4 linked regions of the Rattus norvegicus genome follow. Each later gene encodes a partner of the first gene's protein in a complex. Links are inferred from orthologs where the notes say so. Each region holds a gene or a part of one and is shown on either strand. Other genes may lie near its edges.

Region 1 (7,099 bases):
TTCTTTAAATGGTTTCATTCAAAACGTTTTAAAGAGCTTGCCCCTACTCACTGAAAGAACATATTGCATGGAAAACGGGGTGATCTCATACACAATCTGTTCTTCCTGCTTCCATTACATTTTTTTTTAATCATGCATTTATTTGGTGTATAAGAGGTCCCGAAACTTGTTTTGTTGGCTTGAAATGTGACAGTATTAAAATCAAGGATGTTGAATAAGGCTTTGTGGTTTGTTCCAATAAAGAATGGGAACGATCTATGTATTGATTTAAAAAAGAAAATCTCTTGTATTTATTTCATACTCAAATTTTAGGACATTATTCCCTAGGGTATATAGACTAGATTTTAAACACTATGCTAATCATGTAAACACCACTGAAATATGAAGGTTGAGGGTTAAAGATTTAAACAATCCTACCTTTCTCCATATCAGGTGAGCATCCATTACTCCTAGACACTAATTCCATTATGAATGGAAATGGTTGATTTTAACCTATTCGTGGCTGTAATCCTTTGTGAAATTCTACTACACGAGTATACAATCGTTTATTTATTTGTTCTATGGACACACTGTTAATTACTTGTAGTTTACTTACTTATTGCAAGTGAAGCTGGTATAGCATTTATGCGCAACATTTTGTGGGCGTGTTTTTATTCCCTTGCAAGAATACCTGGAAATGGAATTGTTGAGTCACACTGTAGGTGTCTGTTTATCATGATGGAAACCTTCCGACCTGCTTCCCAAAGTAGCTTTATCACTTTCTATTCTAGCCAGAGAGGAAAAGAGCTCTCATAGACCTGCCGGTATGGGTGCTTTTAATTTTAGCAATTTTTGTAGGCCTGGAGTGGAATTTCTTTGTGGATTTAATTAGCATTATTTCCCGATGACTAGTCATGTTGAATGCCTTTTCATGTACATATGGACTATCGATAAGCCTTCCTTCAGGTGTCTGTTGAGGTCTTCTTACTCATCAAACATCTTTGTTCTCATCACCTGATTGTAAATGCTCATATAATCAGGAATTTGTGTATATTGAGTATATTTTCACAGGTATGTCAATATTTTCTTCTAGTCTGCTTTCTCACTGATGACTGTGGGTAAGTAAAAGCTTTTAATGTTGATGAAGTATGCTTCTCTCCCCCCCCCCTTTTTTTTCAGAGCGAATACATTTATTTGCTCTAAGAAATCTTACTCTACCACAAGATCAGAGTTTTGTTTTTCATTTAGAAGACACATATTATTTTACTAGCTTTACATTTTTTTTAACCCTCACATTGCGGTACATATCTTTTCTTGACTTAGTATTCATTCAGAGTGCGGGGTAAGAGCTGAAGTTCAGTGTCTCCTTGTCAATGTTGAGTTACTTTTGACTTTTGCTACAGAAACAAGTTGGGAGTGCTACATGGTGGCAGAGGGCTTGTTTAGCCGGTGTAGGCCTTGACATCTGGTTCCTAACACAGAAAGGGTGGGAAGAGAGAAGCAGAGGAGAGAAAGGACATTCACACCAATAATTTAGAAGCTGTCTATTGTGAAGTTGTTTGCCTGTCCATCTATAGTTTTATACTAGGAAGCCGTATAAGTAGACCAAGTGGAAAGTAAAAATTAATAGTCAGCTACTGGTTCTTATCGAACTTGAATTCAAAACAAAGAAACAACCAGAGCGGTGTTGGGAGTCCTAGAGTGAAAGCTCACCCAACCTCTATTCCCGAACTTTCTTCTTGGGTAACACAGCACAGAGACAGCGAACCCGACGTGGTTCCTTAGGAATTCAGGACGTGTCACAGGGTCTGCCATCTCTTTTGGCTTTACACCTGCTTTATCATCTTCATCACCCCATGACAGAAGCTCCTTGTTCAAGTCAGCGGGCCAGTTCCAAGGCATGGTGTGGAAACTGGCATTTTAGCACTACTTGGTTCAACAGACTGGAAACCCATCTGAAAGGTGTTTGAGAAAAACTGGCATTGAATCTCATTGTGTAGCTTGAGAAAGTCCAAAGACTAGGATTACTTTCGAAATATGTATTGAAAAGATGGCTTATGTGTTTTGGTAGACATTTTAATAGTGCAAGTGCTCTGTGGATCATTCCATCAAGCTATCATATGTACATACATATATATTGTGTGCAATTCATATATATGAATTGTATATGAATATATATGCATTATATATATAATTTAAAACTTATAGCAAAATCAGAAAAGCTGCTTACAAATGAAATATGTAGTAAATGCATTTTACATTAGTTTCCCATGGAATTTTCTGCCAGCAGAAAATGAGTACCCAGTACCCTAATTTATTAACTCAAATTGTCAGTAGTTTCTTTCTACCTTAAACTGCAGTATAAACACCAGTCTAGCGAGTTTGCTTTAATGGATATTTATGCAGGGATTTTACAAAATAGGAAGACAGAGAAGTGGAGTTGGACAAATGACCTCTGTGTTCCGGGCGCAGGTCCAATCTTGCTTCCCTTCTGAGGTTGAGTCCATCTCTTGTTTGTTTTGACATTCAGAGAGATGGTACACCTCTGTCTTTCTTCACTGTTTGCAAAAAGCTGAGGTAGTTGAAAGACGAGGGCGACTGGCTTCCCAATGGCTTTTTGATCTGCCCTTGGTGCTGTGCAGAGCTGGAGCGAGAGGCAGAGAAGATGCTTCTTGGCTTTGTGCAGAATCCCTTCCACCCCATCCCCCGCCAGCGCTGAATTTGCAGATCGCGGCCGCCACATTCCCGTTCCTTTACATTCCGAAGCCTGCTTCTCATTTTGCCAGAAAACGAGGTAGCTGTAGCCACAGATAGACTTTTTCCTTTTTCTCTTTCCTCCTCCTACCCCTCCCTAGACCTCTCTGGGCTTTGACGTCATGTGTGCTCCTTTCAGTTGCCATAGCAACCCCATTCCCCAAGCCCTCTGTCCGTCTCCTCTGGTAGGCTCCACAATGGTACAGGCAGCCTCCCGCTGCACAATGGTTTCCAGGCAGTGAGAGGGTGATTCAGCAAGCCGCTCTCTCTTCTCTTAAGCCTCCTCGTCTCCGTTTATTTTTATGGGGGTGGGTGGTGCTTCTTATATGCTTACCCTTTTTTTTTCTATTTTCATTTTTACATATTTCCCTTTTCTTCCTCACTCCTCAATTCCTAGGGGCTTGAGTGAGCTAAAGATTGGGTCTTCTTGGAAATCACCTGTCTGTTATTATTTTTAAACAATCTCTGCACCTCCAAAGACTCTCCTCCTTATTCCGGTTTGGAATGTGGCTAATGAAAGCCCAGTAGGGAGGATTTCTGGGGCAAACAGGCGGACCAGGATCCTGGTTCTCAGGCACGGAATGGTAGGTGACTCCTTGCTCATTCTGGGTTCTAACCTGGTTTGGGAGGGTGGATGATATCTGTCATTGCTCCTGGTGGGATGGGAGAGAGCTTGAAAAAGTAGGAAGTGAGGGTGTTGGAGAGCCGGTCTAACGAAGCGTACTATCTCTGGGCAGGAAGACTGGCGTTCTCTCTGGGCAAGCATCTCTTCTCAGAGAGATGCTGAAACCTTTCTGTTTGGAATGAAGGATTCCAGAAGGTGGGACAGACCGTTATTATTATGACTTGGCAGAGTAAAAGAAACACACACCAGGGTGCAGAAAGAGAGAGGAGAGAGGAGAGAGGAGAGAGGAGAGAGGAGAGAGGAGAGAGAGGAGAGAGAGAGAGAGAGAGAGAGAGAGAGAGAGAGAGAGAGAGAGAGAGAGGCTTGCTTAGAAGTCTGGATCTCACTTTTATCTGAGAAATGTTATGGGTCTCATAAAAACATTCAAAAAATGTCATTAGTAAACATAAATGTTTATTTCCAGACTGGTTTAACTTAAATATTGCAGAATAGATTCATAGAGTTTAGAGGTCTTTACAAATATATTAGAACTATGTTCCTCTGGTAGAAAGACCCCGAGTTAAATCTGGGCTGCAGACAGGAGCACAGAACAGGGACCAGAGCAGGGAAAGGAGCAAACACTGGCACTGCAGGCGGGCAGCCGCCTAGGTGAAGGTCCCTTTAAGAAAGTGATCTTCCAGTCACAGCGGGCAGCGTTTTTCTATGGCAAGGTTCCCAGGTATTCTGTGCTGAGATGCTGTGTCCCCTAGAAATGTCAGAGCATTTTCAGAAAGGAAAAGGAGCTGCCACTGGAAGAGAGATGATGATACAGCTATCAGAATTTATATGTTTGTGCTTCAGAGGATAAGTGTGCTTTATTCGAAAACCTCCAAGTAAATCAGGCTATGGATATTTCAAGAAAACTATATATATATATATATATATATATATATATATATATATATATATATATATATACCTTCCACCATTTAAATAAGGGACTAAGGTGCTGGTTTGACTTCCTTTTGCAGATAACTTTCAAGGGCATTGCAATTTGGCCACAAAAAGGAATGTATTACCCCAGGGCTGTAGGTTTTGGAGCAGCCACAAGGTTGTTTACATGGTCTGCATTTACTGCAGAGCAATATGTCTGCATGACAGAGATAACTTTCACGAACACAGGCTAAGTCATATGGGACAAGCCACAGCTAGGAGTGAAGGAAGGCTAGCGTTACCAGGCACTACCTGTCCAATTTCTGCCCCTTTTTAATGCTGCTTTTCTGGGTCCTGGACCGGTTTGCAGAATGCTGATCAACATATTTAAAATGGTTGCGGTAGCAGCCACTTCTCTCAGAGAGGCTTCAGTAGACGGCTGTCCTCAGTGAGCATGTATGCACAGGAGCCATGCTCATGAATGAATTCACGAGCTTCCAACTCCACTTTGGGATCATAGGGACTTAGGGCTAGAACAGTTTGATGTAGCAGTCTGGCTGCTTCTGGTGTGTGCCTCCTTTCTTTCTTTGAAAAACAAGAAACAACAAACAAACAACAAACCTTGGTCTTACCCTTCAAATTGACACAAATTGTACAGCTTATGTATCTACTTGCACTAGAAAGGATCGTCTTTTCCCCACAGTGGGACTAGAAAAGCAGATGAGAAAGGTGGTTTGACCTTAAGTGTGAGTTTCCCGCTTCCTCATTGGCTTCCCCTTCTCTCCGGTCACGAGCGGCTTTCATTTTCAGGACGGAATCTTTGCAGTTGTAATGAAAGAGGGTCCTGGTGACTGGGAAGCCCAAACTACCTGGGGAGTGGCGAATTCAGCTGCCTCCAGCTTCCTTCCTGCCGTCCCTCAAAACAGCATCTGCTAGGGGAGGGGTATGTTTGCATGCCGGAAGGGGCGATTCCCCCAGGAACTGAGAGTGCTCTCTCTCTGTCATTGTCTAGCGCATCTGCAGCTAGTACTACGGCTTCATAGTACGTGGTCAAGATGTTTCAAGGTTAAGAGGAACTGAGCGGTGATATGGATGCTATAGAACGTGTCATTTTAAATCTACAGCAAAACTCACTCACTGTCAGTGTGTGCTATAGGAATATCGGAAGCAAAGGAGATTTGCCTAATGTAAACGATCGAAGGCACGTACATATATTAAAAGTTATATCCTAGCCTCGTGTGAATGAACCTGTTTCTTTCACTGTGAGCCTAGCCACGAAGGCTTTCCATCTTGATGACAAGATAAAGAGCAAGGGAGGTTTCCTTGTTTGCTAAGTGCGGGGCTCAGGAGTGTTTGCTTCTTGCTCCAGAAGCTGACCTCAGGTCACATTTGTAGCCAGAGGCAGGATGTGGAGCGGAATGGATGTGAGTTAAGCCAAGCAAATCTTTGGTTGCTCGTCAGGAAAATGGGCTGCTAGCGAAGGCTTCCTGCAATCTGTAGGAGAAGCAAACGCGCCCACACGGAGAGGACCTCATTCCCGTTCCCCTGCTTCCTGTACGGTTCTTCCCAACGTTCTTGCTTGGCCCAGTGGCAATCTTGTCTAGAGGGGCGCAGAAGTGTACAGTAGGGTCTAGAAAGAAGCACAGCATTCTCCTTGCTGCAGGCATGCCTGTCCAGGAGGTCCTACCACACAGGCACCTGCTACTGCGGCCCTAGGAGGTCCTACCACTCAGGCATCTGCTACTGCGCCTTCTCCGGAGCTAGGAGGGGAGGGCTCGTGGGGAAAGCGGCCTACAGGCTCCCGGGAGGGAAGCTGCATCAGTCAAGGCGAACCAAATCCATTTGTGTCTTCAGCATATTGAGAATATTTATTGCATTACATAATCTTGTGTTGAGACTTGGTGCTGCCGATTCGGGTAAAAGGGCTTGCTGCATGTTGTGTGAAGAGAAATTGTCTTCCAGAACAGAGCTTGCGTGTGTTAGTTCCTCCCTGGAGGCTTTGATACTGAAGTTCAAGTGTTTTGAGCCAATGCTGCCCCCGACCCCCGCCAGCCCCACAGTTTGAGTACATTTCAATCCATGAGCTAATTAAAGTACAGAAAAGAAAGTTAAAAACTCTGACCGCTGAGGACCATTGTTTCCCCCTATGTTTAATGTTGTAATAGTGAATCTTGGTAAAATGAGTGGAAACACCAGGTAACACTGAAAAAATCTCTGGCTCAAACTTGTATGTTTGAGAGCAGTTTCCAAACACACCTATTTTCAGTAAAGGATTTCATAGTCTTATTGACGTTTTGGACCCACAACAAGCTACTTTGGCCTTTCTCACCCTTCTTATCCCTGGTGCCTCCAAGATACAAAACCTACAGATTTCATAAAATAATGCAGGTGGGAATGGAAACCCAAGTTCTGTACAGAAAAATAAATGACAACCAGCTCCTGTGGAATTATTCCAGTCACAGTCTCTCAAATGCTCTGAGACTGTGATTGAAGGTGTAGCCATGGCACAAGGCACCAGGCATGGCACAGGACACCAGGTATGGCACAGGGCACCAGGCATGGCACAGGGTACCAGGTATGGCACGGGGCACCAGGTGTGGCACGGGGCACCAGGCGTGGCACAGGGTACCAGGTATGGCACAGGCGTCAGGCATTGCTAAGCAGCTTGCACAGTAAGAGAGAGGATTCTACTCAATCCTCCCCTTACCCCTCCCCCTTCTCTCCTGAACGTCAGGAGTAAGACAAAAACATAAACAGCAGAGACTTAAAAGCACTGGAAATGAATGCCAGTGGGGTTCCCTCACAGAAATAAAGTCCTGGCGTGTGGCT
Region 2 (6,539 bases), on another chromosome or scaffold:
GAACTACATGAGACTCTGTCTCAAAGAAACCAGAGAGAGAAAAAGAGGAAGAGGGATGTTTTTATAGGAGGTCTCCCGTATGCGTGGGCCTCAGACGTCTCCACACCTGCCTGTCTGCACAGCTGTTCCCACCATGTAGGCATTCCTTATGCGGTACTCCTTGGTGTAAGACTTGACTTTTTACCTGTGTGTCTGTGTGTGTGTGTCTGTGTGTGTGTGTCTGTGTGTGTACCCTGGGTCCCCTGGAGTCACAGGTGGCTGTAAATAAACTCCTGACCTCTGTAAGAGCAGTAAGTGTGCGTAACCACTGAGTCCTCTCCCCAGCTCTCAGGTTCATTCTTAGTTATTAAATTCAGCTTCTGGGCTGGCCTGGACCATAATTTTGAATGAATGAATGAATGAATGAATGAATGAATGAATGAATGAATGATGAATGAATGAATGAATACAGGGGTTGGGGAGCTGACTCAAAGGATAAAGTATGTGTTACTCGAGTGTGAATGTTGGGTGGGTGTGGCAGTCTGCCTGTACTCCCAGCTCTTGAGGGACAGGATCCGGGAAGAAGCTGGGCAGCTAAGCTAGATGAATTGATGAGCTTTAGGCCCGACTGAGAGATCCTGCCCCAGTTCTAGATAAGGTGGAGCCATACAGGAGATGCCCATTGTCAACCTCAGGCTCTACCCACGTGCCCAGACCATACAAATACACATTTGTGCACACATAACACACACACATGCCACAAACAACAATAACAAAACCCCACAAGGCTGGGTGTTGATGGGAAGCAGAGAGGAGGACTGTGCCAAGTTCAAATCCAGCCTACTCTACACACCCAAGTCCCAGGCCAGCCAATTGTGTCTAACGGGACCTTTAAAAATTTAAGTGGGATTTGACTCATCTTTGTAGTCCGTACTTCAGGAGGGCGAGGCAGGAGGATTGCCTTGAGTTTGAGCCCAACCTCAAAGAAGCTATCTCAAAAATTAGATAGAGGGGCTGAGGATTTAGCTCAGTGGTAGAGCGCTTACCTAGGAAGCACAAGGCCCTGGGTTCGGTCCCCAGCTCCGAAAAAAAGAACCAAAAAAAAAAAAAAATTAGATAGATAGATAGATGATAGATAGATAGATAGATAATAGACAGACAGACTAGATATAGATAGATAGATAGATAGATAGATAGATAGATAGATGATAGACAGACAGACTAGATATAGATAGATAGATAGATAGATAGATAGATAGATAGATAGATAACAGACAGACTAGATATAGATAGATAGATAGATAGATAGATAGATAGATAGATAGATAACAGACAGACTAGAGATAGATAGATAGATAGATAATAGACAGACAGACTAGAGATAGATAGATAAATAGATAGATAGATAACAGACAGACAGACTAAAGATAGATAGATAGATAGATAGATAGATAGATAGATAGATAGATAGATAGATAGATAGATAGATAGCAAATGAAAGAAGGGACAGAGAGATCGCGTTTTAGAAAATGTTAGGGTCCCAGGGGATGAGCCCGTGTCTCAGAGCTGTGGAGAAGCCGCAGGTAGACTGAGGTTGGAGGGATGGATCACAATTCATCTCCCTTAAACCTGTCCAGATTTACTCTTCTTGGACCCGTCTGGAAAGATGGAGGCCCCAGACTGTTCTTGTGGCAGAAGTAAGAATGGGCAGGGGGCTCAGCTGGAGAGAGAGTCGGGTTGTCAGTGCCAGACAGTTACTTCTCAGTGGCTGATCGGTTCTAGAGAGGGTGGGCATCCCCATCCCTATGTGTGGTTCCTGCTACCTCAGTGGATGTAGATGGCTGGTAGGGGGCATTCATTGAGGCTGTTTTATTTTTATTATTATTATTATTATTATTATTATTATTATTATTATTATTATTGAGGCACGATTTTGCTGTATAGCCCAGGCTGGCTTTTTTAAATGCTCCTTTCCAGTCATTATCAGATTTCCTACAGACCCTGTCTCATGGTCCATCTTTGGAGTCTGACCTCAGGCGCTCCCCTTGACCTCCCTCCATCATCCTGAGTTGCAGCTCCTGCCTGCCCTTCAGGTCTCTCTTTAGGAAAACTTTGCTGGGTTTCCTCTTATGTGAAGCAAGTCCAATTCTCCTGCCCTGCACATAGCCTTGCACATAGCTTTCTGCACATCAGCTACATGTGGGGCGCAGTCCCCTGAGTGGATCTCTGTGGGCTGGAGGGCTGGGACTGTGGCTGTGCACAGACCAGAGTAGCGGATGCCCGTCTCGGGTTACCGTGGGTTACCGGGCTGTTTCTTCCCCCAGGGCTGTGGTGTTCTCAGCTTCTTCGTTTCTTTTCCCCTTAATTTTCTTTGCAAAGTACCCACAGTCTACGTGAAGACTTCCTCTGAGTCATGTGAGACTTTCTCTGGGGAAGGGTGGGGCCCACTTGTTCCCCTCTTAAGTCCCAGGGGCTGTCCTGTGGGTGTCCCACCAGGGTTTTCATAATTGGACTCAGGGAGTGGTACTGGGGCTGATTAGCATGTAGCCATGCCCCGCCCCTGGCCAGACAGGAAATTGGATGTGAGCCCGAGAAGAGAGGTCAGCAGTGTGGCCCCACTGACTGCTTTTAGGGGAGCGTGCTACAGAGCATGTGTGGACATCAGAGGACTGCCTCAGGTGTGGGTCCTCACTGACTACCTTGTTTGAGATAGGATGTGGCTATGTTTCTGCATTCACCACACTAGCCGCCCTGGTCTGTGGGCATCTGGGGGATTCCGCTGTCTCCGCCATCTCCCTCCCGCCCTGGAGCACCAGGTTTCAGAGGCATGCTAATCGGGTCGGCTCTGTGTGGACTCTGGGGACTTAGACTTAGGTCCTCACAAGTGCATAGCAAGCACTTTACCTGGGAGGTGTCATCTTCCCAGCCCTGCATATGATGCAGTCACATCACTCAGCCCACTCTTGAGGGGGGAACACCAACAGCCCTAAAGTAGTAGAGAGTCACCTACGAGGAAACAAACAGATGAGATTGATTTCAGTTTATCTTAGTTTAGTATATCTCACATCTCATCCATCTGAAAAATGGCAATGGGATAACCAACATTTTTCTACTGAGATTTTAAAATGAGGTGGATATTCTTTTGGTGTGTGTGCGCACGCACGTGTGTGGTGCATGTATGTATACTCACATGTGGCATACATGTGAGCATGTATGTACTCATGGCTATGTGTGCACATGTGCTTGTGGGTGAGTGGGAATCAAGAATCTTCCTCAATCAATGGTCCGCTTCAGTTTTTGAGCCCGGAACTCTTCAGCTAGTCTTTCTAACCAGCTTGCTTCAAGAACCGCCGTCCTCATTTTCTGAGCTGGGGCAGCTGCCACACCTCCAGGCGTTTGTGAGCTTTGGAGATCTGAGCCTCCGGTCCTCTCGCATGTGTGGCAAGCACCTCAACTCCTGAGCTCTGTCTAGGCTGTAAGGGATGTTTACATTTTTCGTTAATCACATTTAGATGCTCTGGGGTTACATGTTGGCCTGAGACTTTTTAAAGTGCTGGCAGTGCAAGCATCTGGACCGAGTTCCCAATCCACAGGACCTGCGTAAGAAAGCCAGGCCCAGCAGTAACCCCAGCAACCGAGAGGTGGGTGGATCCCAGGGCTCACAGGCAGCAGCCTAGCCTCACAGGGGACTTCCTGCCAGTGAGAAGCCTTGTCACAGAAAACAAGGCTCCCGAGGAGTGGTCTTCAGTGTTAACGTTAGGTTTCTCCATGTACACACGTCCACGGACATACACGTCCTTGTACGTACATGTCCACGGACATACACAGGCCCGGCATACGCTGTCTGCCGTAGATAGGAGCACAGCTGCTGTGTGCGTTTCCCTTCCTTCTGAAAGCAGGACGTGTGCTCTTGGTAGGCCTGGGCCTGGGTGTCAGTGTGGGCTGAGAGGGCTGCCTGGCAGTGGGCTGCTAGGCTGGCAGTCGTGTACTGGGGTGTTTGCCTGGCCTGGAGCCTTGTTTCTGACCAGCTCTGCAGTCTCAGGAAAAGCTGTTTCCAGCTGCTAGGCCTCATCTGCAGAATGGGGCCTATAACTGTGGTCTCTGGAGCACTCTGGGCTGTGACGTGCAGGGAAGATTCCCAGGACTGCTATGCCCACCTGGGCTTCATTCCTAAGCCAGGGCATCAGAGAAAGGCCTCATTAGCCATTGGCAGCACAGATGCAAGGTCTGTCGAGCTCCAGACTATGGAGGCTGTCTGCTCACCAACCTGGTATTCACTCAGCCATCGGCCTCCTGTAACCCCATCCTGTGCGTGAGGGACTTCCCTGTGCAGCCTCCAAGAGGGAGGCAGAGGTGGATCAAATCCTGGGCCACTCATCTCTGGGGGTGGGGGATGGACCCAGGGACCCCCGGGCTTCACCTCAGGCCTTACAAGACCTTCTCTCTCAACAGGCTCAGCTAGAAGCGCAGAAAGCCACACAGGACTTCCAGAGGGCCACTGAGGTGCTCCGTGCAGCCAAGGAGACAATCTCCCTGGCCGAGCAGCGGCTGCTGGAGGATGACAAGCGCCAGTTTGACTCTGCTTGGCAGGAAATGCTGAATCACGCTACTCAGAGGGTAGGTGTGGCCGTGTGTGCTGGTGCTGGGGACCCAGGCCTACAGGCTGTTCTTTGACTCCACACGAGAGTAGAGGTAGCTTTCTGGGTGGCATAGAACCCTCCTGTACAGGCCATGGACTCTCTGCCTTATGTAGTGTGTTGGCTGGCAGGGCTTTAAGCCACCAGTGACAGGTGGACATAATCTTTCTCTGTATTGCCTTAAATGTGTCCTCAGGTTCATGTGGTCCACCACTGTCTTGGCAGTGGAGTTGGGTTTTCCAGAGGGGCCAGGATGTTCTCCAAGGTTGGCTTCATGACCTCAGAAGGACTGCAGGCCCCAAGTGGAAGCCCAATTAACACTTTTGACCTGCCACTGGGTATATGTTGGTGGTGGGTGAAGTACCCAGACTGGAATAAGTGGGTAGACCCTCAGGAAGGGCCTTCTGGGTGAAGCTTGCGTCTGGGGAGTAGCGCTCTGTAGGCAGGAGCTGGGAGTGGTTGTCATAAGGGCTTTACGTCGCCATTATTTGGCTCTTGACCTGTTCCCACCTTGCTCAGAATTGGAAGTGATATTGTCTGGTCCAGGCAGACTAGTAAACAAAATACTGGCTGACTTCAAAACAGAAATACATCCCTCACAGTTCTGGAAGCCAGGAAGTCCAAAGCCAAGGCTGATGTGTATGCTGTCTGATGAAGACCCGTTTCTGGTCCTCAAAGGGCTCTCTCCTCTTAAGGTAGCAAATGAGCCTTCTCAGACCTTCCTGCCCGTCTGCTTGCCTGCCTGCCTGCCTGCCTGCCTGCCTGCCTGCCTTCCTTCCTTTCTTCCTTCTTTCCTCCCTCCTTCCCTCCTTCCTTCCTTCCTTCCTTCCTTCCTTCCTTCCTTCCTTCCTTCCTTGTGCTTGTGCTAGGGATCGACCCCAGGCCCCTTCACACTGTAGGCAAGCACTCCAACATTGAACCACAGTGGGGCCCCACCCCTCTGGTCCCACAGCATCACTTCCCCAAGGCCCACCTCGATATCCACACTGGGGACATTTCCATTCCAGCAGGTAGAGCCGTGTGCTTGACACTGTGGCATTGGGGTTTACTGGGATCACAGGATCCACTTCCTGCTTCCGATTCGGCTTCCGATTCTTGGTCCCCTTGGCCCTAGCCTGTCCTCCCTGCAAGGCCAGTGTCAAAGCAAGGCTGGGGGTTTGCTGTGGGTCAGGCCAGTGAGCTGCAGCCCCTGGTGGAAGGAAGGCTCAGGCTCAGCTTTGGCTTCAGTGAGTGACAGGAAGACTGTCTGTCTGTGGGGTAGAAACGAGGTCAGGAGTCAGTGCCAGTGGCTGTTCCCTTGTCAGTGTCCCCTGTCACAGTTGCTCAAGTCCTGGGGGATCTGATGATTACAGATGGCCCCGAGTGTTTTTAAATAGAAAAGCGTGACATACAAATGACTTCAGGAGTCAGATCTGACTGGACTTCATACCAGCTCTCCCTGTAGCCGGGGACACATGCCTGTGGCTTGGCTTGGTGGCCTTGAGCCTCCTGCCCTCTAGTGGGTGTGATGCTTGTAGCCCCAGTAAGGCTGAGAAAAGTCTCACTGGGTCAGCTGTAGACAAACCAAAGAGGAGGTTGGAAATCTTGCAAAGCATGACCAGACAGATGAGAAGATCCAGTTAACTAAGCACAGGCCGCGGGCCACCTTTCATTGCATCCTCGTGCCCTCCAAAGCGCGTAGGAGGCCATTCCAGAAGTCACCAGATGTGCCTGCTTGTGGTGGTGTATGCCTATAATGCCAGTCAATAATGCCAGCCAGGAGACTCAAGGCTAACCTGAGCTACATAGGAAGACCCCATCTTTTAAAAAAGAAGAAAGAACCCCCTGGATCTGTTATTACGAAAAATCCACATTTTAGTCAAGGGGTAATGGTAGTGGGTGGCTGCCCACAAAGAGGCACCCTGAGACCCTCACACTGCACAG
Region 3 (7,112 bases), on another chromosome or scaffold:
AATACTACATAGTTTATACAACAGAAAAATACAGGACTACTCACACAGTGAAACATTGTCTCAAAAAAATAAAAACAAAAACATATTTATTAGTTCAATGTTATAACCAGAAGGAGGAAAAAACAAAATAAAAAACCCAGCAGAGCAACTACACACAATCCTGTCTTCAAAACTAAATAAATTTATTAAAAATTAGCTAGACAGGGTAGCTGATGACTGTAATCCCAGGATCTGGGAGGCTGATGCAAGCCTGCCATGGGGCTGAGGCCATGAGTTCCAGCAGCCTGAATTACAGAGCGACATCTTCTCTAAATAAATAGCGAAAATTGAAATCAATTTCTTCCATTTAGGCATTTAATATCAAGAAATGTGGCTTAAGTACTTGGTTAACTGTACATAATCATCAAACATCACAAAACTTATATAATAGAAAACTATAATGCTAGTAACAGGTAAAACTAAATGAATAATGCAAAGTTCCACAAGACAAAATGAAAACAGTTTAGAGAACACACTTAAAAATCAAAAGTGGTGCATGCCTTAAATCCCTGAGCTAAGGAGGCAGAGGCAAGCAGATCTCTGAGTCTGAAGCCATCTGGTCTACAGAATGACCCCCAAAACAACCAGGGCTACACAGGGAAACCTGTCTCAAACAAACAAACAAACAAAACCAAAAATAACAAAAAAAAAAAAAAGGGAAAAAGAGAAGCAAATGGTATAGATGAATATAAACATATACTAAAATTAACTCACATCCATTTACTAATTGCCAAGTACAATTATTCTGTTTCTCTAAGAACTTTCTCAATGATCTCATGGTAACTAGTCACTCACTACTATATTTCAAGTGTCTTGTTGATGTTTTTTTAATTTCTTGGGTATTAATATAGAAAAAGGTTGACAATTACCAGTTAAGATATGAACCCAAGTAAATATACCTACATCCTCAAGATATAGTCACACCTCCTTCCCCCATTCTACCCCACCCCCCACTTCAAAGGAGCAGGAGGAGGAAGAGAAGAAATAGAATTGATTATTTTAGAAGCAATGATGTGGCTCAGCCAGCAAAGCACTCGACATGCAAACCTGACAGACAACCTGAGTTCAATACCCATAACGCATGTAAGGTAGAAAGAAAGAACCACCTCCATAAAGTTGTTCTGACCGCCAAACCCAAGTTGGAGTATGCACATACCAGTACAAGCACATTATACACATATACCTGAACAAATAAAATGAACATTTAAATCCCTCCTTTATGATTACCAAAATGCCAAAAAGAACAAAGTAAGCATCACAGTCCCTATCTCAAAGTGAAAATATAAAATCAGTTTTAGGTTTGTCAATTAAAAAAAAAAGTGAAGACATATACATCACATACAAGTTTATAATTGTATATTTCATATCTATATAATATAAAACACATACATACAATTACCAATGGCCTTAAAGACTCATGCATTCTTCCATTTTCTATGAAGTGATACCTTGTTTTAACTTTTTAACTTTGAGAAACAGAACAAAGAAAGTGTTTTTCTACAATTCCCGCCTCCCCAAGACAATAATAATGATGGTGATCACTATTTCTTCAACATTATAGAGTTACATATAGGGCTAATGAGATGGTCCAGTAAGTAAAGCACTTGCCACCACGCCTGATGACCAGGGGTTCATCCTCAGAACTCATGTTGGAGAAAGGGAACATTTATTCCTCAAAGTTGTCCTTTAATCTCCATAAATATGCTATCATCCACAAGGCAGGAAGGCAGACAAGCATATATACACACACAAATGTAAAAATAAAAACAAATTACACAGAGGTTTTGAGGACGTAGACCTCAATAAAAAAGAGCATACCTTTAGTCCCAGTACTTGGGAGGTAGAGGTAGGCAGGATCTTTATGAGGTGGAGGCCAGCCTGGTTTACAAGCAAGTTCCAGTATAGCCAAACTACAGAGAGAAACTATGTCTGAAAAAAAAAAATAAATGAAAAGAGCTTTCCTAGCACGGGTAGAAAAGCAAACAAAGGACTAGGATGGCTCAACAGCTCCTGTGTTCTTGCAGGGAAGCTGGGCTAGGTTCCTAGCACCCACATGGTAGTTCATAGTAATCTGTAACTCTAGTTTTAGGGACTCAGGATTTACAATATCCTCTAAGGGCACTGCCCATAAATGGTGCACATACATATATGTAAGCAAAACACAAAAATAAGTAAACCTTAAAAAAAACAAACAGAACAAGTTGCATTTCAGGCAAAATTTCAGTCTAAAGAAATAGATGTGAATATAAGACAAAATGTTAAACTATTGATTATATAAGGACAGGTGGTTTTGTAGGTTACAAGTTAATACTGGGAGTATTATATGTAATAATTTTCATAGAGGTCAGTTGAATTATCTAATTACTTCATTGAATTCTAATCAAGGAGGATTTCAGTAAAAATTTTGCTTTAAATATGAAAGATTTATTTACTTTTCTACGGGCATTTTAATAAGAGTAATAAAAGAAATACCAGTTCACAGAAACACACACATTGGAAGAGCCTAAAGGCAAAAATGAGTGGAAACAGCAGGTAAGGTAAAGCTGTTTACTAGACCTAGCAATATAATTGATTAGGAGAGTACAGATAAATAATTAAAACTCAAGTTTTCAAGATTTTTTAAAAGTTAAAAAAAACCCTAGATTTCTTGACTTAATGTTAGTCATGATTTTAGTGGATAGTATCATTCATCTCAAAACAATACAGCTTTAAAAATTTAAATACCCATCAAAACATCTCTGCAATTACTTATTAATGATTTTTAAGACCTAGAAGTTTAATTATCACTCAACACTATCAATGGCCTTAAAGATCTATGAACTTAGTTTTCTTGACCAATTATATAGGATATGTTTTTAGAATGCTTTACAAAATAATCTCTTGGCTTTTGAAAAAAGTTTATTGCAGGGATTCTTCAAATAGGTTTAGCAAATTTAAATACAAGATTCTATTTCAGGAAGTCATCTAGAATTAACTGTTTTAAAATAAGCTTTTATAAAGTCTTACAATTTGGGTGCAAGAGACCCAGGCCATTTGGCGCTTAATGAGTAGTATTCCTGGAAAGGTTATTACTTGACAATGGCCAAGGGTTAAGAATTCCTTCAAATTGGACAAAATAAGCTTCTCAGAATAGTGGGTGTTTGGTCAGATTTCAAATATAGCATTACATGCATGTGGTGTGAACGTGTCCATAATTTATAATCCCCAAGAAACTGTGACTTCCACAAGGTAATCTAGGTATTAGTCAACAGGCCTAAGGGTCCACCATGAGTAATCCCTTTTACTCCATTATGTTGGTGGTAGTTTCACTCCACCTCCTCAGTTCTAAGAGACTCCACTAAGAAGAGACAATTTTATATTACCTATTGCATAAAAATAATGCCCATCTCCTCCAAGGTCTTGGTTCAATGAGTGAGCGCCATGGGGAGACATACACACATCCCTCCCTCCCTCTCTTCCTTGTCCCTGGGGTAATACAAGGCAGATTATTTCCCTGCAAAAGCTGTGCAGAACACCCGTCGAAGTGAATGGGGGGAAATAGCAGAATCAACCTGCACCCACACCTCAGCCCCGCCCCACCTGGAAAGGGAGGGGGGTGGCGAGAGTATGAGGGTGGCAGAAAGGACAGAAAAGGCCGAGACAACCAGCCCCCAGGTTCTCCATACCATTGGCTCCGTCATGTTCCGCCGAGGCCAGAGACCCCGGCCAGATTTTCAGTCAAGCTCCCCAATCCGTCACCGCGGATTCATCCCAAACCCCGCGGTCCACAATCGCCCGGTGCCCGGTGGGGAGCCCAGCATTGGCCCTTTGGCGGCCCGATCAAGGACCTGAGGTGGGGGTCTCCCCGTCAGATGGGCGGATCCGAAGAGCGCCCTGGGGACCTCGCAAGTGACCACACAAGAGGATAAGTCGGAGGGAGGGGTCTGAGAGGAGCCGTTATTCCTTCTCGCTCACGCTTGGGAAAGCGCGCGAGGGAGGGGCCGGAGCCCCAGCGCGTTACCTAACGGTCCGGTCGGTCCGCCAGGCCTGAGGCGGAGGCGCGGCTACAGCGGTCCGGAGGGTTGGGGTCCACAGCAGGGGCGCAAAAGGGGTGGGAGGCGGGGGGTGGGGACTACAGGCAGCGACGTCGCCATGTTAGCACCTTCTTCCTCCGTCTCCCTACAGCCTCCAAGCCTGTGGCCCTTTCACCATTACTCACCTTTCCAGGTCACTAATTCATGTTCCTTTCAGCCACCAGCGAGCCCGGAGCGCTGCCGTGTTTACAAACTAGCCCCGGAGGAAAGGGCTGAATCGCACTTTAAAGGCCACGGGCTCCCACAGGCTTCCGTCCTCTCTCGCGAGATCCGACTGACAAGCCTTCTCCCCGCCCCACTCCCGGCATCCCCGCCGCTTTCTTCTCGCGCCCCTCCCCTTCACGCACACGCCCCTTCCTGATTTCCTCCGAAGGAGCGCCTGCAGGTCAGGTGACTCCGTCCTACACCAGGAAAAGGGCGGGCCTTCGGGAGGGCGGGGGGCGGGGAGGCGGGAACCAAAGAACACTCGGACGCTAGTGATTGGGCGAAGAGCAAGAAAGGCGGGAAGAAGTTCCGAAGGGGCGTGGCCAGGGTGCCCAAGGACCGTTGTTTCCGTAACCAGGGAACTGCAGAAAGCTGTGATTGGCAGCCATAGGGAGGCGGGCACCGGAGGCGGTACCGGATCTGGGGCGCGCGCGCAGGTGGCGGTGGAGAGTACAGGAGGGCGTGGGCGGTGTGAGAGAAGAAAGGTGAGGTCGGGGGAATCTAAAGGAACCCAGCCCCGGCTGCTGGTGTCTCCTTCATCTTGGTTTCCGGCCTCTCTAGGGATATGGGGATATAAAGGGAGACGCTTCTGAACCACCCTCCGAATACCCAGAAGCCAGAGCCGGGGAGCTACGCTTAAAGGTTTTGGAGAAAGGATTTGGCAGTCATCACCCCGTGTGCGGAGTGAAGCAAAATAAGTCAGCCCTGTGTAGAAAAAAGAAACCTTTTCTCAGAGAGGTCTTTGTTTGGATTTTACGAAGCCAGAACTGGAGCTGATCTTCGCCCCCACCCTGCGTCAAGTACATGGTGTATTACAGCACATACGAGTATGTTCAAAGGCAGTGATCAGAAGGAAATACACCGTCTTCCAATCCCATGTCATATTTTAAAACAAAGCAACGATCTTTTTCCTGGAGAAAAATCCTTGGAATTATGGGATTTTCTTTTCTCAAATTTCCTTTACTTAGTTACATATAAAAATACTAATTTTAGAGACTGGAGAGATGTCTCAGCGGTTAAAAGCACTAGATGCTCTTCCAGAGGACTTGGGTTCAATCCCCAGCACCCACATGCAACCCACACTGGTCTGTAACTCCACTTCCAGGAGACCTGACAAAACACCAATGCACATAAGACCGAAATAATTTAAAAATACCAATTTCAATAGGATCGTTTCATTCTTTTAAAGCTTAAGAAATCGGTATTAATGTTTTAAAGAGGACTAAAGGGCGCCAATGAGAACAGCATTCTTCCCACAATACTTTCCTTTTACTTTGTAAATTGTAGTGCCAAAGATATGCCTGTTAATTTTACCAAGTAGGTTTCAAAAACTGGGAGAGGCAGAGGCGGGGAGGACCTAAAGAGATGGCTCAGTGGTTAGGGGCGCTTGATGCTCTTGCAGAGGACCCAAGTTTAGTTTCCTATCACCACATAGTCGCTCACAAAGGGGGATCCAACAACCTCTTCCAGCCTCTGTGGGCATGCGTTCATGCAGGCAAACACTGAAACACAACAAGTAATGTCCTTAAGACTGGAGGCAAGAAGAAAGAGTGGCTGATTAGTGTAATGAGGACGAAAGAGACAGACTTTTACGAGTCTATAGCTAATTCAGGTCCACTCCTAAACATACTTATTCCTAGTGAAGATTTTGGTGCTTATTTTAGGGATATTGGTTGTCCAATAAATATGTACAAGTTGCAAAATGCGATTAAAGCACCTGTGAAGTCTTGCACTAATTTTTAAAAAGCAAGCCTTGGTTTTAGTATGTTTTTCCATTTGTTAAATGCTTATTTCTAATTTAGATTTATGAATACGATTTGTGTATTTACATAAAATACACTCAATTTCTCCACACCAAGTGAAACTAAAATTGTAAGTTTGCCGGGAATATCGTCTTCGAGTTAATGAGCCTGCAATCTAATGATGTGAGATTGTAATGTCACCGGACCTTTTAATAGGTTCCTGGCCTGTACACGTGTGTGTGAGCCAACTCAATCTTCCTTTAAAGCTAGTTTAATTACTTGAGAAACCTGAAAGAAACCAGATCATTACCAGTGTTGGTTCTGAAGTTAGAAGGAAAGTACCATCCTGTAACATTAGGAACACTGCAGGAATGTTAGGCTACTTAACCACTAATTACATCAGCAAGGTGTCATCTGCTCGGATTACTGGTTGGAAGGATGACAGACAAAAATGTAGGACTGCCAGATGATAAATTGCTAGGTTCAGAAAACTTTCACTAGAATGCTGCTCTCCCCCATCTGACAATATCTAATGGGAGAAAGAAAAAAACAAAACAAAACAACAAAAAAAATCCTAAAAATGTTAAAGCATTTCTAAAGAACTTTAAGTCTTGATACATTTCCAAGTTTTTTGCTTTTCCACATGTATATTTTAAAATTGAAACTTTTTGTTTGTTTCTGTTTTTCACTATGTAACCCTGACCATCCAGGAACTTGCTCCTTAGACTAGGTGGGACTTGAACTCACAGAGATCTGTCCGTCTCTGCCTCTGTTGGGATTATAGATGTGCACCATCACCATCACCACCTCCACCTCCACCACCACCACCACCCCTGGGGTAAAAACTGAAATTCTTGTCTCCAGAGTGATTTATTTTCATCTCAAGTGGCAGCAGCTTTGGCATTAAATGTTCATTGTTAGATCTCAAATCCTGCACTCTAAATGTCTCCAGTCGAGGGCCAGGGCTGCCCTTCCCCCTATAATCCAGCCAAAGCCTTTAGCAGGTAGGGAATGAGGGATGTTGAAAGACCTGATGTCCAAGCCCACTTTGATA
Region 4 (7,339 bases), on another chromosome or scaffold:
TGGCCCTAGGCTAGACTCTCCCACCTGGCTCTAGCAACCCAGTCTTAGCTTGGTGCCTAAAGGGTCCCACAAATCGGGTCAGCAGTACCACCCCCATACAGCATCGTACACGTTTTTGTGTAAGAGATACATACAGGTGCGATTGTCCATTTCAGAGGGGCTGAGTCACCCACTATCCAAGCTGGGTCCTTACCAACTCGACGTTCAAGTTGGTATTCAAAAGGGAACCTGAACATGTGCAAGTCAAAGACATAGAGCAGCACAGGGACAGCGTAGGTTGTACAGGGATAGTGTAGGTTGTTCACACTGAAGCATCTTACTGGCAAAGGGCATTATTGGCCAGCTTCCCTTGGGGTGAGTGGGGGACGCCACGAGCCTTACAACCCAAAGGACTATTCCGTAACTACAACTAGGAGGGTGTAAGAGCCACCAGAAAGGTATAGTGTCCTGTTCTAAGTCAGAGGAGCTCTGGGGCTGGTAGAGCGGTGGCTAGGCAGTGGGGTGCCCTGGGCACCTCTTGGAAGCCAGCTCTGTAAGATTTAGGGCTGTGAGGACAGGCTGGACCCCTGGGTCTCAAATAGGCTTCATCATAGGGAGCCCACAGGCCCATGGCTAGCCCTCTTAACTCAGGAAGCTGGGGAGCGAAGGCTCAAGTGTGGCTTCTGACAGCCTGGCTGCAGTCAGCATTACTCAGTGAAGGCTCCATGCTGTGCTTGACCCTCACTTCCTGTGCATGGCCATCTCAGCCTGTATCTTGGCTGAAGGAGTGAAAGAGGAAGTGAGGGAAGCTGGGACTGCTGTGGGGAGGGATGCAAGGACAAGGGAACCAAGGCAGCAAGGCAGTGTGGAAGTGCATGTGAGTACCTGGAGCAGGATTGCTTGGACCATTAGCAGAACCCAGCCCAGGCCAGGCCAGGGTATGGAGTGTGGTGTGTGCTCCAGGTCACAGCCTAAGCAAGGTGTGGCTGGAGACCAACACTTTGAGAGGCTGTGTACTGCAGAAAGACAGACGTCAGAGTCAGGCTGGCCTCCAGGGTCACAGGGCCACCAAATGTGGCTGTGCTATGTGCCTAGCCAACATGGGCAAGTAGGGCTAATGGGCGAAGTGCTTCTGCCCTGGGAAGCTGCCCAAGACCCAACCCCTAGGAAGAAGCTGCCACCCTGCCAGGGCTGCGCAGTTCTCCTGGGTCACCTCCCAGGTCAGGGCTCATACTTCTAAGAAAATGGCTTGGGCGAGGTCAGAAGAACACTCCCCCCCGCCCCCGTCTTCCCAGTGCACGTGCCTACCCTCCAGCTTCCCTGCCTCTTTTCTTCCTTCCCTACAGCTGGTATCTGTGAACACGGAGTTGCAAGTCCCTTTCTTCGGCAAGTGTCTCTTGGTTCTGCCCAGGAGATCTAGACCATGGTGACTAGGGGAGAGTGGGTGGCAGTAGAGGTCAGCCCTTGGCCAGTTCTATCCCCTCCTAGGTAGTGACATCCTCCCTCCTTTGTAACTCACATGCTCCATCTTATCCTGGGGTGGCCAGGAGGAAGGGAACTGAGGTTTACAATACCGATGCCTGAGGCTTAGGGCACCTTATCCATGAGATGGCCCAGAACCCTATTCCAGGGTGGTAAAGAAATGTAGCACATGGCAGCTTGGAAGAAGAGTGAGACACTTCAGGCCTGACATGATGTCATCCCATGATGTCACCCTGCCACCTCAAAGCACCCCAAAGTAAGACTAGGGTAAGAACACCATGGGTTTTAAATGGATGAAGTGTGTCATCCCTGATACTTCGTTCATGAGTGAGTTTGGGAGGGAGAGAAGACAAGAACACGCTCCCTGCCCTCAACGGAGCTAAGAGTTAATAGAAGGCTCCTGACCAGAGCCCAGAGCCCTTCTCACCTTTGCCCCACTAACCTGGTCTGGTCTGGTCTGGCCCCACTCAGTCCTGTTGTTTGGTGGACTGGCTTCTTGGTCCATGCCTAGAGGACATGGATACACAGACACATCCTGTGGCCATGTAGAATCCTTAGACCACTGCAAACCCTTCAGTCTGAGAGGAAGGGTAAGGACTGAGGCTGTCCTGTGGCCCGCACCTAGCAAGTATCTACTGAGCCTAGAGTGTGTACCTGACACCTCACCAGACCTGCCCTCCAGGAGCATCCGGTCTAGATGGGAGTCAGGAAGGGAAAAATACAGATGATGAGGGGGATGTACTCCACCCAGCTTTGTAGTCAGGAAGTGTAGGGCATTTCTTTTTTTCTTTTTTCTTTTTTTTCTCAGAGCTGGGGACCGAACCCAGGGCCTTGCACTTGCTAGGTAAGCGCTCTACCACTGAGCTAAATCCCCAACCCCAGGGTAGGGCATTTCTGATGGATGGGTCAGGAGGGCTTCCTGGAGGAAGGTTTCTCTGAGCACTGTTGGGGCCCAGTACCCACCCTTGGGAGGCAAGGCCCAGCAAACAGTAAACATACAAGGCTGAGTCTCCCCCTTGCAGAGTCCTGGAGGGTTTTTGAGTGAGGAAAGAAAGGATGGTGGTGTCCCTTACTGTCTCATGGCCACAGGAGAGGTCAGAGGGGGAGAGGGGAGACTGAGGCTGGCAGTCAAGGTGGTGTAGTTAATGCAGGAACTGGACCAGGGTTTGGCAATAAGGAGACAGAGGTGTGTGCAGACACCAGTGGAGCTGGGGGCATCCGAGGACACTCCCAGAGAAGATGCCTCGTGGGACCCAGGAACTCAGCCATGCTGTCTGAGTCCCAGACCTTACAGTCAGACTGCACTTAGGGTTAGCCACAGGGCCAAGAGGCCAGACTGAGGAGGGTGCTCTGGCCTCTGGACCAGTCCCCATGTCATTTCAGTACCAGCTAGTAGCCACACCCCCCAGCCTGAGAACCTGCAGCTACCCTTGGGGTCAGAATCTTCCAGGGCAGTTGTCACTAGGGACCTCCATGTTCAGTCAAAGTCACTCCCAAATGACTCCCAATCCTGCGTCCAAACTAGTGGTACCCATTGCTGTCTTCCTGCGCATCCTTCCAGCCAGCACCAATCCCTGAACCAACCGCCCTGGCCCTGGGCTTGCAGAAGCCTCCCAGATGCGGTGTGGAGGCGGAGCCTGTGTCTGTGTGGAATCAGGTGTCCATTCTTGGGGCCCTTCGGGAGCCCCTTCCATCTTCTCATTTGGCACCCTGAGTGTGGCGCTGGCCCTTTAAAGCAGATCGGGGTCTGGCGTTGAGGGAAAAAAATTACCAGATTTCTGCTGTCTGCTTACATGCCTGGCCTTGGGAGGGAAGGGGGGGTCACTCCAGCCCCCAATAGGGGCATTGGAAGGGCAGGTGGAGCCAGTAGCATTGATTGCAGTAACCTGATCCCGCGGGGGAGGCGACGACATCGTTGCGCATCGGGCTGCCAAGGAAGGAAGCTGCCCGCATCTGAGGGTTGGGCCAGGAAGAGTTGGGGCTGGGGCCTGGGTCGGCAGCTGCGGCCTCCTCTCTGGCCCATCTATTTTTAATGAGCTCCCCGGGCTTCTGCAGCCGGCAGAATGCAGAAAGGCAGGCCCAGTCTGTGGAGGCCAGAAGTCCCAGCCCTGCCTTGAGCTCTGGCCCCCCTACCCTTCTGGGCATGAAAGGGCAGCTCTGGAGCCCCGCAGCCCCCTGGCCGGGCAGGGCTCTCCATGCAGCTGGTACTGAAGATGGATTCGAGCCCAGACAATGACAGCTGGTTGGAGGATCAGTGGGAACGCTGGTAGGGTCCTGGGGCCTGGCCTCAGGTGGGGGAAGGGCGAGTTGTCCGGAGGTGCTCTATTGAGCTCAGGGGCCCTGTTCAGACTGAGTGAGGTAGAAGACAGAGGTGCGAGCCTTCTAGGCTTCCCTGGGAGCTGCACCCTGTCCTTCCTCTCCTGGGTGACCTTGGATGAGCTTGTGTACCTCTGCTGTGTGCCTAACCTCCTGGTCTCTGGGAAAAGGCCCAGGCATTCTCTCCAACTCCCCAGATGTCCCATTTATACTAAGCCAGACAGAGTACCAGGGTCAGAGTGAGCCGGTGCAGGGGACAGGTCAGCACCACAGTGGCAATCTCAGTAGTGCATTCCAAGGTAGGCACACAGGGTAGCCTGGGCTCCTGGAAGTCTGTTAGTGGTCTAGTACCAAGTGCTCTCCATGGCCACTCACAAGACCTAGCCTTGGTCTTCCCTGACCCCATTTGTTCAGGGTCCTTATACCAGATGAGATTGTATAGTTGAAGAGATGACACCAAGAATGTTGGCAGGTCCCCCTCACTGTGACCATGGCTCAGTGGCGTATATCTTTGTGGGTGAGAGAAAGGGGCACCTACTGTGCCCTTCTGGTGGCTCCTTGGGTCTTGTTACTGTGGAGTGCAAAGATTTTCCTACTCTGGTACCTCTTGGGGGTTGAAATGGCCTTGGCACTGCCTTGGCCATAAAGGCATTTCTCCAGTAGAACTGAAGGTCTGGACAGTTGGGCCTTCTAGGACTGCCTTCTGGTTGGCAGCCGGATGGAGAACTCCCAGCCGGTGATGCTGGAGAAGCCTGGAGATGCCTCCTCCGCCACCCTAGGTGGAATGCCTTTTGGCTCCAACCCCAAATCCTTCCCCTGCCACTGCGCTGACAGACTGAGTCCTTCATCTGGGAGCTGCTACCTGCCTCCCACGGTCTTCCCCTGAGAAGAGGGAGAGGCCAGCAGGCTTAGTTGGGGCTTAGGGGCCCTGGGTTGTGACTTTGGTTTCTGTCCCCACTAGGCTCACCCATGATATCAGCCTGGAGGAGTTTGAGGATGAAGACCTTTCGGAGATCACTGATGAGTGTGGCATCAGCCTGCAGTGCAAAGACACCTTGTCTCTCCGGGTAAGGGCTGGGTCTGAAGAGTCTGAGTGGCTGGGAGGATGGGCACAAAGATTAGGGAACCCCGCTATTTACAAAGGAGCTTGTGAGTGTGTGTGGCACTCCCGGGAAGTGAAATAACAAGGTAGGAAGCATCTAGTATAATGCTTGACACATCTTGGGTGCTCAATCCAAAATCTCCATTTATTATTTTTGTCAGTACTAAAGCCGGAAGCAGCTTCTTCAGTTGTTCACAGGGAAAGAGAGCAGGGGGCTTGAGATGTAGGACAGTGGCAGTGAGGACCAGAGTGAAGGGAAGGGCCTCTCATGAGCTTCTTGGCAGAGGGCCTGCGACAGTACTGGGTGGAGCCTGGTGGAATCTGCAGTGCTTTGGGGCAGGAAGGAGGAACCCGGGTGCTGCTGGACTAGCTCCTGTGACTGCTCCTGCACCCCCCTGACCACACCGCCAGCATTTTAGGCTTTCAGTGGCCCCTGCTGCATGGTTGGTCCAGTACTGGCATTGCTCAGAGCCCCTTGGCTTTATCCTAGTGACAGGCTCTCTTCTGTATATCTGAGTGCCAAGGTACCCGGGATAGATGGGAATCCCCATCCTGTTGTCAGAACACAGAGCAAGGACTTACCTGCAGGATAGGGAAGGCAACGGCACAGGGCTAAGGATCAGAGGCCAGCACCAGGTGTAGTTGAGTTGCTAGATATGGCATTTCCATGGTGTGAACCAGGGAAGGGCATTTGTCTTAGTGTTGCCCTCCTGGTATCCCTAGCACTTTTACAAACTTCCAGGCAAAGGGAAAGCAAGCTGTGAGGGTGACTTTATGCTTCCCAACTCCTTCACTCTCTTACCAGGCCAGCAAGGATGGAGGCAGAGGCTACTACTTCTGGGTTTAGAGAGTGGTCCCAGAGATGGGTCATACTTGCTTTGAACTTTAAAACCACTGTCTCCCGGGGTTTGGGGATTTAGCTCAGTGGTAGAGCGCTTGCCTAGCAAGCGCAAGGCCCTGAGTTCGGTCCCCAGCTCCGAAAAAAAGAAAAAAGAAAAAAAAAACAAACAAAAAAACCCACTGTCTCCCATATGCAAAGCTTTCAAGAGGGTCTAATGCAATTAGCCAGAACTATCACCTCCCCCTGCCCTGGTAGTAGGCTAACTAGAGTGATCTCCTGGTAGGAGTCTAGTCAAAGTTTCTCTCTCTGTGTCTCTCTGTCTCTCCTCTTTTCTCTCTCTCTCTCTCTCTCTCTCTCTCTCTCTCTCTCTCTCTCTCTCGTCTCTCTGTCTCACTCCTCTCCTCTCTGTCTCTCCTCTCCTCTTCTCTATGTCTCTCTGTCTCTCTCATCTCTGTCTCACTCTCTTCTCTCCTCTCCTCTCCTCTTTCTCTCTCTGTCTCTCTGTCTCGCTCGCTCTCTCCTCTCCTCCTGTCTCTCCCTCCCTCTCTCCCTCCCTGTCTCTCTCTCTCTTTCTCACCTGGAGGACAGCATTATAGGCCTAGTCAACTCTTGAGGGTTGACTAGTCAAAGGATCTGTCCAAGGTGCCAGGAGTTAGAGGCAACAGTGGAAGTAGCATACAGTTCGGGTCTATAAAGGATAGGTTGGCTGAGGGATGTGTTCAGGTCAGAGCTGACTGGGAAGGTCTCCCCTTAAAGTTCCCCTTCGGGTCCAGTCAGGGTCTCCTGCCCGCAGTGCAGTCTTCCTTACCTGGCTGACATGCACTTTCCCCAGTTTGCTTCAATGTCCCCTTCAAATGCCAGTTGTCTCGCTCATGCTCATCCCCATTGGGGACGGAATTCCTGGGCGACCCCTAGGTCTCCATGGCAACAGCGGTGATTTCACTCTGGGCTCGGCTTACAACCCGGGTGAGGTCACTGGCCGTTACCAAGGGAACGGAAGGGTGCAAGGAATCCGGAGGGGGGACCGTGGGAGAAGAGAGGCGTGGGCGGTTCTCTGCGCTGGCGGCGTAAGGATCCGGCCTCCGGGGGGAGGAGGAGTGGCGGACGGGAGCGGCCCAGTGCTTCTGTCTCTGCCTGGCTCCCAGTGTCCCACCCCTTGCGGCCGCGAAATGGACTCGTCCGATTGAGGGGCGGGGCACCTAGGCATCAGACCCACCCCTCCTGCGAGACCCCTCCCGCGCTCACAAGGCCCCTCCTCTGACTCCCCTCCGTCCGCGCCGCGCAGCCCCCGCGCGCCGGGCTACTGTCTGCGGGTAGCAGCGGTAGCGCGGGGAGCCGGCTGCAGGCGGAGATGCTGCAGATGGACCTGATCGACGCGGCAAGTGACACTCCGGGCGCCGAGGACGACGAAGAGGACGACGACGAGCTCGCTGCCCAACGGCCAGGAGTGGGGCCTTCCAAAGCCGAGTCTGGCCAGGAGCCGGCGTCTCGCAGCCAGGGTCAGGGCCAGGGCCCCGGCACAGGCAGCGGAGACACCTACCGGCCCAAGAGGCCTACCACGCTCAACCTTTTCCCGCAGGTGCCGCGGTCTCAGGTAAGACGCAAGCAACCCTGTGCTG

What was found.
Region 2: the proteins of Mapk10 (region 1) and Sh3bp5 are in contact, whole or in part, in a crystal structure (PDB 4H3B), measured with the Homo sapiens proteins. The link is inferred for Rattus norvegicus from reciprocal best matches to the Homo sapiens genes MAPK10 and SH3BP5. Residues at the interface, in NP_620448.1 of Homo sapiens: Lys121, Asp150, Ala151, Gln155, Val156, Met159, Leu161, Glu164, Arg165, Tyr168, Tyr171, Val197, Lys198, Ser199, Asp200, Cys201, Trp362, Asp364, Glu367; in NP_004835.2 of Homo sapiens: Val341, Val342, Arg343, Pro344, Gly345, Ser346, Leu347, Asp348, Leu349, Pro350.
Region 3: the proteins of Mapk10 (region 1) and Atf2 are in contact, whole or in part, in a crystal structure (PDB 4H36), measured with the Homo sapiens proteins. The link is inferred for Rattus norvegicus from reciprocal best matches to the Homo sapiens genes MAPK10 and ATF2. Residues at the interface, in NP_620448.1 of Homo sapiens: Asp150, Ala151, Gln155, Met159, Glu164, Arg165, Tyr168, Val197, Lys198, Ser199, Asp200, Cys201, Trp362, Glu367; in NP_001243019.1 of Homo sapiens: Lys48, His49, Met51, Thr52, Leu53, Lys54, Phe55.
Region 4: the proteins of Mapk10 (region 1) and Mapk8ip1 are in contact, whole or in part, in a crystal structure (PDB 3PTG), measured with the Homo sapiens proteins. The link is inferred for Rattus norvegicus from reciprocal best matches to the Homo sapiens genes MAPK10 and MAPK8IP1. Residues at the interface, in NP_620448.1 of Homo sapiens: Asp150, Ala151, Gln155, Val156, Met159, Leu161, Glu164, Arg165, Tyr168, Leu169, Tyr171, Val197, Lys198, Ser199, Asp200, Cys201, Trp362, Asp364, Glu367; in NP_005447.1 of Homo sapiens: Pro158, Lys159, Arg160, Pro161, Thr162, Thr163, Leu164, Asn165, Leu166.

Annotation. Positions count from the first base shown.
Region 1 is NC_086032.1:6,799,368-6,806,466, forward strand, and holds the start of Mapk10 (mitogen-activated protein kinase 10), read left to right. Parts: upstream 1-2,926; 5' UTR 2,927-3,317; intron 3,318-7,099. UniProt on the Homo sapiens protein: Serine/threonine-protein kinase involved in various processes such as neuronal proliferation, differentiation, migration and programmed cell death.
Region 2 is NC_086034.1:6,601,176-6,607,714, reverse strand, and holds part of Sh3bp5 (SH3 domain-binding protein 5), read left to right. Parts: exon of another isoform or gene 1-974; intron 975-3,624; exon of another isoform or gene 3,625-3,892; intron 3,893-4,431; coding exon 4,432-4,596; intron 4,597-5,218; coding exon of another isoform or gene 5,219-5,311; intron 5,312-6,539. UniProt on the Homo sapiens protein: Functions as a guanine nucleotide exchange factor (GEF) with specificity for RAB11A and RAB25. Inhibits the auto- and transphosphorylation activity of BTK. Plays a negative regulatory role in BTK-related cytoplasmic signaling in B-cells.
Region 3 is NC_086021.1:79,198,369-79,205,480, forward strand, and holds the start of Atf2 (cyclic AMP-dependent transcription factor ATF-2), read right to left. Parts: upstream 4,378-7,112; 5' UTR 4,238-4,377; intron 4,106-4,237; exon of another isoform or gene 3,705-4,105; intron 1-3,704. UniProt on the Homo sapiens protein: Transcriptional activator which regulates the transcription of various genes, including those involved in anti-apoptosis, cell growth, and DNA damage response.
Region 4 is NC_086021.1:98,815,798-98,823,136, reverse strand, and holds the start of Mapk8ip1 (C-Jun-amino-terminal kinase-interacting protein 1), read left to right. Parts: upstream 1-3,439; 5' UTR 3,440-3,656; coding exon 3,657-3,727; intron 3,728-4,738; coding exon 4,739-4,844; intron 4,845-7,005; coding exon 7,006-7,314; intron 7,315-7,339. UniProt on the Homo sapiens protein: The JNK-interacting protein (JIP) group of scaffold proteins selectively mediates JNK signaling by aggregating specific components of the MAPK cascade to form a functional JNK signaling module. Required for JNK activation in response to excitotoxic stress.